Linked DNA regions of Sus scrofa. The protein of the gene in region 1 binds, or shares a complex with, the protein of each later gene. Links are inferred from orthologs where the notes say so. Each region holds a gene or a part of one and is shown in the gene's direction. Other genes may lie near its edges.

The links.
Region 2: the proteins of ETFB (region 1) and ETFA are in contact, whole or in part, in a crystal structure (PDB 2A1U), measured with the Homo sapiens proteins. The link is inferred for Sus scrofa from reciprocal best matches to the Homo sapiens genes ETFB and ETFA. Residues at the interface, in NP_001976.1 of Homo sapiens: Ile14, Tyr16, Val18, Ile20, Val22, Val29, Thr31, Phe41, Leu102, Arg106, Lys124, Gln125, Ile127, Asp128, Asp129, Asp130, Cys131, Asn132, Gln133, Gln136, Met137, Ala139, Gly140, Phe141, Asp143, Trp144, Pro145, Gln146, Thr148, Phe149; in NP_000117.1 of Homo sapiens: Glu27, Leu88, Pro89, Glu90, Ser113, Ala114, Phe115, Lys117, Asn118, Pro121, Arg122, Ala124, Ala125, Lys126, Glu128, Val129, Ala130, Pro131, Ile132, Ser133, Arg146, Thr147, Ile148, Tyr149, Ala150, Gly151, Asn152, Ala153, Leu154, Cys155.

The regions. Positions count from the first base shown.
Region 1 is NC_010448.4:58,500,676-58,505,011, forward strand, and holds the start of ETFB (electron transfer flavoprotein subunit beta), read left to right. Parts: upstream 1-1,265; coding exon 1,266-1,322; intron 1,323-2,220; exon of another isoform or gene 2,221-2,441; intron 2,442-4,336. Other genes in the region: CLDND2 (claudin domain-containing protein 2), read left to right, coding at 21-140, 391-464. UniProt on the Homo sapiens protein: Heterodimeric electron transfer flavoprotein that accepts electrons from several mitochondrial dehydrogenases, including acyl-CoA dehydrogenases, glutaryl-CoA and sarcosine dehydrogenase.
Region 2 is NC_010449.5:56,537,455-56,541,750, reverse strand, and holds the start of ETFA (electron transfer flavoprotein subunit alpha, mitochondrial), read left to right. Parts: upstream 1-1,475; 5' UTR 1,476-1,598; coding exon 1,599-1,637; intron 1,638-4,296. UniProt on the Homo sapiens protein: Heterodimeric electron transfer flavoprotein that accepts electrons from several mitochondrial dehydrogenases, including acyl-CoA dehydrogenases, glutaryl-CoA and sarcosine dehydrogenase.

The DNA.
Region 1 (4,336 bases):
GGTTGGTGGGCGGGGCCCAGGCCTCTTGCTGCTGATCGCCTTGACAGGTTACACGGCGAAAAATGCATGGAAAGACGACGTCTTCTTCTCCTGGTCCTATTTTTCGGGGTGGCTGGCTTTACCCTTCTCTATTCTCGCGGGTAACCTGGACAGTGGAGGAGGGTGGAGGAGACTGCCCCGAGGGCCGCTCCCCTCCCTGCAGAGACCCCCCCCCCAGCCTCCTCAAGACACCACAGAGACTCCCCAGTACACTCCACTCTCGGCTTTCCCGCGGACCTGGCAGAAATGCCCCTAGAGCCCCAAACCCCAGTCCCCGGGGCCCTCCTGGCCATTCGCCCCAGAACCCACCTTTCCTCCACCCTCCCTCCGTTCCCGTTCCCCTCCCGTTAGGCTTCTGCTTTCTGCTGGCGGACATGATCCTGCAGAGCACAGATGCCATCAGTGGATTCCCCGTGTGCTTGTGACCGCAGCTGCCTGGGACAGAATAAAGGAAGGGCTTCCACCGCCGCGGTTTCACGTGCCTTTCTGGGGGACGCGAGGACGGGGACGCGGGGGTACCTGGAGGCTCAGGGAAAACGTAAGGGCTTGAATCTACAGGGAACATGTAGACATGGGGTCACGGGCATAGTGGAGACTCGGACCTGGACAGGTCAAGGGAGGTGTATTTGGAGGGGAACGGGGACACAGGGATAATGGAGTCAGGAGGGGACGTGGGCGCATAGAGAAGATGTAGGGACCCAGACATGGAGGAAAAGTGGAGACAAGGACGGGGAGATCGGATATGGGGAACTAGAAACACAATCATGGGATGAGGAACACGGGCATGGAAGGAACGGGGGGACGCAGAGGAGTCAGAGGTGTGGGGACACGGGCACTGCGACTCAGGCGAGTAAGAGGTGAGAACTAGGGAAGGGGGAAGATCTGAGGGCACTGGGAAAAGTGGAGAACTCTCCGGGAATGTGTCCCTCCGCTGCACGACCTTTTCCCTAGTTCTCGGCCACGCTCCCTCCGCAAGGATGTTCGCCTTTCCCACCGGGTTCCGCCTCCCTCCCCAAGATCCGCTCTCTATTGGTCCGCATCTGCTTGCCCCACCTCCCTCCCCTCTGGCCTTCCGATTGGTCCTCTGTCGGACGGGGAGGCGAGCACCGTAGCGGTTGACTGGCTGGCGGCGCGGGGCGCAGGCGCAGAGAAGGACAGGGGGGCGGGGCGTCCGGACTGTGAAGCCGAGAGCGAAGACTGACCCGGCTGGTCGCCGCTGCAGGAAGATGGCGGAGCTGCGCGCGCTTGTAGCTGTCAAGAGAGTCATCGACTTCGCCGTGAAGGTGACCGGGCCCCCCCCCCCCTGAACCCCGCGGCCGTGTGCTTCCGGGGTCACGAGCGCACACTGTTTGAGGTTCTTCTGGTACCTCTTATCTCTGCCGCTCTGACCGCAAAAGTCAAAGTCACACCTGAGGGCAAAGATCAAGAACTGAGAGGTTCTGACGCCCGAGCCCTCTTCATTCAAAACTAGCCCCTCTGGGGTCAGGACCTCGTTCCCCAGTTCTGGACTCACCCTCTTGAGAATTGTCTGCAGGGCGACTTACCTTCTCTATTTCTCAGCTGCTGGAGGAGTCTGTAACACACGGAGAAACTGAGGCACAGAGAGGTCACTCAGCTGGGAGGGGGCAGAGCCGGGATTTCCTATCCAGGTCCCTCCGACTCCGCATCCCAACGAGTGCTTTGCACTCAAGCCAGGCTTTCACCCACTAGGCTGCACTGCACACTCACGTGACTACCGCACACAGTGTGCTTTAATGGAGGTCCAACGGGGGCGCTGTGGGAACCCAGAAACTGTCACAGCCCCAGGGTGACTGAGGAGGCTCTAGCTAGGAAGGGAGGAGTGTGCTTTCGAGAGATGAAAAGCCACCCTGACAAGCTGTTGGAATAGCTCCCATCCTCCTTGAGAGAGGCAGGGGCCAGGGTTGTAACCTTGGCAAGGTCTCCGAGGGCCTGGCTTGTCCCCCAGAGAGACGCTGTCTCCATACTTGGCCTAAATCAGCCTGAAGGTAGGGACTGTCCATCCACGTCTGTACCCTCCCCACCCCCTGCATCAGACTGGGACCCCACGGCTGTGTCCCCAGCATTGGCTGTATAGTTTTTACTAATGCATTAGGCAGCATCCTTCTGAGTCCTTGATAGAGATGAACCTAGTCAGTCCTTTTTATTTCTTTTGCTTTTTAGGGCCGCACCCCCAGCCTGTGGAAGTTCCCAGGGGTGGAATCGCAGCTGCAGCTGCCAGCCTACACCATAGTCACAGCAACACAGGATCCTTAACCCACTGAGCAAGGCCAGGGATTGAACCCGCCGTCTCATGAAGGCTAGTCGGATTTGTTTCTACCGTGCCACAACAGAAGCTTCCCTATTCGGTCCTGTTAATACTGATCATTAATCTCATCAGGCAGGTGAGGACACTGCAGGTTCCATTGCTTGCGACATCATCAGCTAGGCAGCCGCAGTCATGTTTGAAAAGTGCAGGCAAATCCGGCTCCCCTCTCTGTTTCTCCCATCCTCACTCAACAGCCCCTCGGCCTAATGACAGCCCTGGCAGCAAGTGGCAGGGGGGTTGCCTTCAGCCTTTTTGGGGACAAGCCTGATCCTCCAGGTTCCCGCCCCCTTCTCACTGTTCCTTTGGGCTCCCAAAGCCTCTCTCTCCCCTAGCCCTGGTCCCTGACCTGAGATGTCTGGGGTCAAACCTGTCCGTTCCCGCCCCCACCCCAGACAGGCTCCCATTTGACTGAGCTCTGGGTTGGAGCTTCGCCCAGCACAGGACCTGGCCCATGGGTGAACCCGTCCTTATTTGAGCTCCTTTCATCATCCCTCCCCCGCAATGTCCTCAGCTGCCTGCCCCTCCCACAACACCCCAGGGCTCCCTCCATCGCATCCTGTCTTCCTGGATGTGTCCCTTGAGGTCCCTTTCTGAACAAATAAGCGATTCAGACACGGCCAACTACCTAATTACCGGGCCAGACCCTGGACACCATCCCAGCCCTCTGCCCCTCCCCTCCTCCCCTCCCCTCCCCACAGCCTGTGGTTTCTCAGCCCATCCCTCCAGCCCTCTCCATCCCTGTCCTGCTCCCCCTCCTCCAGCAGTTCATGTCCCACCTGAACCCTCTCCTCCCCAGGTCCCCAGTCTCTCCTCTCCAGTCCATCCCCTCCCAGCCTTGGAGGGGCCTCCCCCCCACCCCACCCCCGCACCACCAGTAGCTCATCATCAGGGCTGACTCCCTACCCCCACCCCTGCTGTGGCTCATCTTCCCACCGCTCCCCCAGCAGCCCCAGGACAGGGTCCCAGCCCCTCAGCCTGGTGCTCCAGACCCTTCGGGGTCCAGCCCTGGCCTCCTGGCCTTCCTCACCCTTTGTGCCTCCACAGCTCCCGCCTGCTCATGTTTTCCTGACTGCCCAGGCTGCTTCTTGGCATTTCCTTTGCTCCCGCTGTGCCTTCTGCCTGAATGCCCTTCCAGATCCACCCTCCCAGCTCTGCTTCTTAGCCCTCTCGTGGCCTGCCTAACCTTGACCCCAAGCAATGCAGCAAAGGTTAGTGATTCAGTGGCATTGCCACCTCCAGGAAGGCCCCCACCCCATCCCCTGAGGCTACCTGGATGTGGCCTTGAGCGCTCCTGCAACCCCCAGTCTTGTCCCTCAGCCCTTCCCATACTGGAGTGAGATCCCCTGTTTGCCCAGATGTCACCCTGTGCCCCTAAACTGGCACCTCCTTTCCGGTGGGGTGTGTGTGTGTGTGTGTGTGTGTGTGTGTGTGTGTTTGTCTGACCTGTCTTTGTGTTCCCCACTCCTTCTAGACTTTGCTCAAAGGTCACCTTCTCCGGGAGGCCTTCCCTGGTCACCTGCTTGGCCTCTTTCTGCCTCAGTTGCTCCATCTTTTTTTGTTGTTGTTCCAGAGCCACAGCAGTGACAATGCTAGATCCTTAACCCATGGAGCCACCAGCAAATTCCTGCTCCACCTTTAAAATGAGGATGAGGGTGTTCCCTTCGTGGCTCAGCAGGTTGAAAACCCAACGTAGTGTCCGTGAGGATGCGGGTTCCATCCCTGGCCTTGCCCAATGGGTTAAGTTTCTGGGCTTGCTGTGAGCTGTGGCGTAGGTCACAGATGTGGCTCAGATCTGGCGTTGCTGTGGCTGTGGTGTAGGCCGGCAACTGCAGCTCTGGTTTGACCCCTAGCCTGGGAACCTCCATATGGTGCAGGTGTGGCCCTAAAAAGCAAAAACTAAAGTTAAATAAAATGAGGATAGGTGACTGACGTTCCTTTGTGGCCCAGCAGTTAAGGATCTGGTGTTGTCCC
Region 2 (4,296 bases), on another chromosome or scaffold:
ATGTCATGTAAAGGGGCTTGAAATATGGAGTTCCCATCATGGCTCAGCAGTGAGCAAACCTGACTAGCATCCATGAGGATGCATGTTTGATCCCTGGCCTCACTCAATGGGTTAGGTGTGGCCGTGAGCTGTAGGTCGCAGACATGGCTCAGATCAAGCCTTGCTATGGCTCTGGCATAGGCTGGGTGGCTACAGTTCCAATTCGACCCCTTGCCCGGGAACCTCCATATGTGTCCCGCCTGGGGGGGGGCACTTTCATTTTATCCTGAGAGCAATGGGGAGCCATCGAAGTGTATTCATTACCCGTTTACCCTTTTGAAAGAGCCCTTTGGTTGCAGTGCAAGATGGATTGAAGGGTGAAGACTGGAAGCTGGGAGAGCAGTAAGGAGGCAACCGCAACAATCCCAACACAGAGCAGGGTAGGAGATAGCCTTGGATGGATTGCGGAATTGTTTGGGGAATGGAATTGCTAAAATTTAATAACTCATAGGATAGGGAATAAAGGAAGAAACAGGTCAAATATGATTCCCAGATTTCTGGCTTGAGCAGCTGGGTGGAGGTGGAAAGCATTCCCTGAGAAAGAGAATGCTAGAGGGGGAATGAAATCCAGAAGAGAATGCCCAGTCAGTTGTGGGTGTATGGGTCTGTGGTGTAGAGGAACATCTGAGGAGATGCCCAGCAGGCAGGTGGATAGGATCCAAAGGTCAGGAGAGATTTGGTAGTCTAGGGCTTTGAAGCCAGGGTGCGGGTGGGGCTGCCCAGGGATAGGTAAGATGGGGAGAGAAGGAGGGCTCTGGTGGGGCCTCATGTTACACCTCCATTCAAGACCTTTCCAATCAGCTGTTTCAGCCCATCTCCAGCTGCTCTGCCTCCGTCAACAGGCAGCACACAGAATCCTGCGCTTTCTCCTTGGTCTTTCCCATCGTGTTCCTTCCCTGTTTGTGCTCAGGAGGGTCCATCTTTCAGAACCCAGCTTAAATACCACCGATTCGGAGAATCTCTTTTCCTAATAGCAATGCTATGTTTACTTGTATGTTTCTGCCATTGTCTGGTGAGATCAACATTTTATGCATCCTATTATTATATTCCCCTAACCTGGAAAATGTGTTTAGCATATTACAGATGTTAGTACTTATATTTGTGATTAAATGAAAGGGCAGAAGAATAATTGGAGTGAGAGGAGTGGCCTTCATCCAGAGGTTGAGAACCCAGCACAGTGACGTTATCAGCTCAGTGGGAAAGTTTAGCCTGTGCGCGCTGCACACTGGGGCCGGCAGACAGCCTGGACTTCCTTCACCCGCAGCTCTCCGGCTTTAACCCTGCCTTTGTAGAGTCCGGCTTCAGCCACAGCAGCCTAGCGCACAGCGTCAGTTTTGCCCCCAGTCCCAAGGCCAGCCCCTAACTTTCCGCCGTCCCCATTGGCTGCCCGACCGCCCAATAGGCAGGCAGGAACCGCGAGCTCTCTCTCCTTGAGGGGGAGTCCGCTCTCGTTCCCGCGTCTCGCGAGCGTTTCGGTGACTCGCGGAGGCGGTGTGGTTGGGTCAGCTGCAGGCTACTGTGGGGCTGAGGGTACTGCGAAGCGGCCTGGTGCAGTGACCATGTTCCGAGCAGTGGCTCCGGTGCATCTCCGGCGGGCGGTGAGTCCAGGCGGGGAGGGCCGAGCCCCGTGTCTGTCCAGCCTCAATCTGCTGTCCCCGGGCAGGTCTGTGTGAAGGTCATCGGCCCTCACATCCGGCAGGCCCAGTCTGGCCTGGGACTCAGGCTCAAAGTTCTTGGGGTTTGGCCGTTCCTCTTTCCGCGACGCCAGCTCGGGGTCGAGGTCAGAGGTCAGAGTACTGAAGCTGCCCTCCTGCTGCCCTTCTCCCTCCCCGCCTTTTTTTCTAAGCCCTTTTCGCATCCTTCAGTTTTCTTCCTTGTACTGCGAGGCTGCCAGGTTCTCCACCTCAGGCGGGGAGCGAGCAGCTGCGCCCCCGGGAATCTTTACGCACGGGAGGAAAATGTCGCCGCTGGGATGCTGTCTTGGAAAAAGTTGAAAACCTGAATTTATCTCGAAACCTGACACTTCTGGAAGAATTAAACATTTTCCTTGGTCGTAGTGTGTCTGCTCGCATCCACTCACTATCAAGAGGGGTGGTGCGGTTATGGAAACTTGCTCTACTCTCTGGCTAATGAGGCAGGGCTGAATTTAAGTGATTGCATGTGTAACCTATCATCCAGTTTGAAGGTTTAGCTAATTCCGAAAGGCAGGTGTCTTTTTACTGCAAGCTGATCTGCTTTTAAACGATCAGATTGTTGGTTAAATAGCTAGGGAACTGTTGGTAGGGGTGTTTTTGATGCTTTCATTAATTACAAATCGTGAGTTTACCATATTTTTCTATGGTGAGAAAGATGATAGAAAATATGTTTTTGTTCTAATGCTAGTGGGACAATAGTATTTGGAGTTGACCAATTACAAGTTAAGTAACAATTTATATTGTAGATACTGTAGCTTTTCTAATTTGCAATTTGGTTAAGTGACAAACAAGATTACTAAACTTTCCTGACGTTTTGTACTTTTTCTACCGTTCTTCTGGTGCATTCAGTTTCTTATCCACTGCTGCAGTTTTCTCTCAGTGACGTAGTTGGCAATCTTTCTAGAGGTCTGAAGCTCTACCTCACCCCCTCCAGTTCCAACCCATATCCTTCAGGTCAGCAATCAGTCTTTCTCCCAGAAATTTTCCTCAGAGGATCCAGACATAAACAAATTAAAGTCATGGATTTGGGAAAGTTCCATGTTTCAGAGCCAGACTCTTATCTATACAGAATTGAAAGGTAGTTTTGTGGACAGGTTAGAAGTCTGGCATAAGTGAAATGGTTATGGAGGAGGAATTTAGAATCAAGTTACTTTGTAGAGCCAAGAACAACAAAATAGAACGACTAGCTTAAATTATAATTATAAACACAGTTTGCAGTATGTATAGACAGTATTTCCAAATCTTTACTGTGATTTGCCAAAGACTTTGACCTTGACTTATTTTCAGAATTTGACGTCCTGAGTAGCTTCTCTAAAGTCATTAAGACCATTTGAGAGATTTGAATTTCAAGGGTATAGGAAAATGATGAGAATACTTCTAAAAGGGATGCATAAATTTATGTACATTTTTAACTTTAAAAATTTTGCAGTTTTATTCTTACGGAAAAGTTGCAAGAATAGTACAAAGAATTCTCAAAACCCTTTGCTGAGTTTCACCAGCTGTTAAACAGTTTGGCAAATTTGCTTGCTCTCTCCATATACACATATTATTGTTTTTTTGAACCATTTGAAAGTATGTTTCAGACATGCCCTGTACTCCTAAATAGTTCAGTGTGTTTTCTATGAACAAATAGGTTCACCTTTCATAAACACGGTATAATTGGCAAAATCAGCATATTTACCAATGATGGAATATTATTGAATCTACAGACATTATTCAAGTATTGCCAATTGTCTTCTTAGTCATTTGTAGCAATATTTCTTATTCTGCGCTAGGATACTTCAGGATCATGCTTTGCATTTAGTTCTCACCTCTCTTAAGTTTTTGTTAGCAAAGCTTCTCGCCTTTCTTTGGCTTTAATGGTATTGACATTTTTGAAGGGTACATGCCTTCTCTTTTGTTGACTGTTTCCTGAATTAGGTTTGTCTGGTGTTTCCTCTGATTAGTTTCAGGTTCTGTATTTTTGGCAGGAGTATCACAGAAGTGGTATTAGGTTCTCAGTGCATGTGAAAGGAGGCTGGTAATGTGGTTTATCCCATTATTGGTGACATTAATTACTTGGCCAAAGTGTTGTTTGCCAGGTTTCTCCACTATCATATTTCTGCTCCTCCCTTTGTAATTTTTAACTAATTTGCGGGGAGGTACATTGAGACTACGTAACTCTTCTCTTTCTCACCAGACTTTCACCCAGTAGTCTTATCTGTTGATGATTCTTGCCTGGGAAATGATTACTGTGATGTAAAACAGTGATTTTTCTAATTCCATCATTCCTTTTACATTAATGAGCTTTCTGTTATTTATAAGGAAGAACATTTCCTTCTTGCTTATTTATGTACTTTTTTTTTGCTCACTTCATTCAGTAGGTTATAATCCATGACTGCTCTTTAAATATTTTGATGCTCAAGTTGTCCCAGATTTCTAAGGTGCAAGTCCCTTCAGTCTGGCTCCTGTTTACTTATATTTATGAAACTGTAAAGTCAGAATGGCTTATCTGAATCTCTACTCTTGAAATTAAAAAAAAAAAATTTGTTCTGTAGCTAACCATGAGTAAAATTAGGAAGAT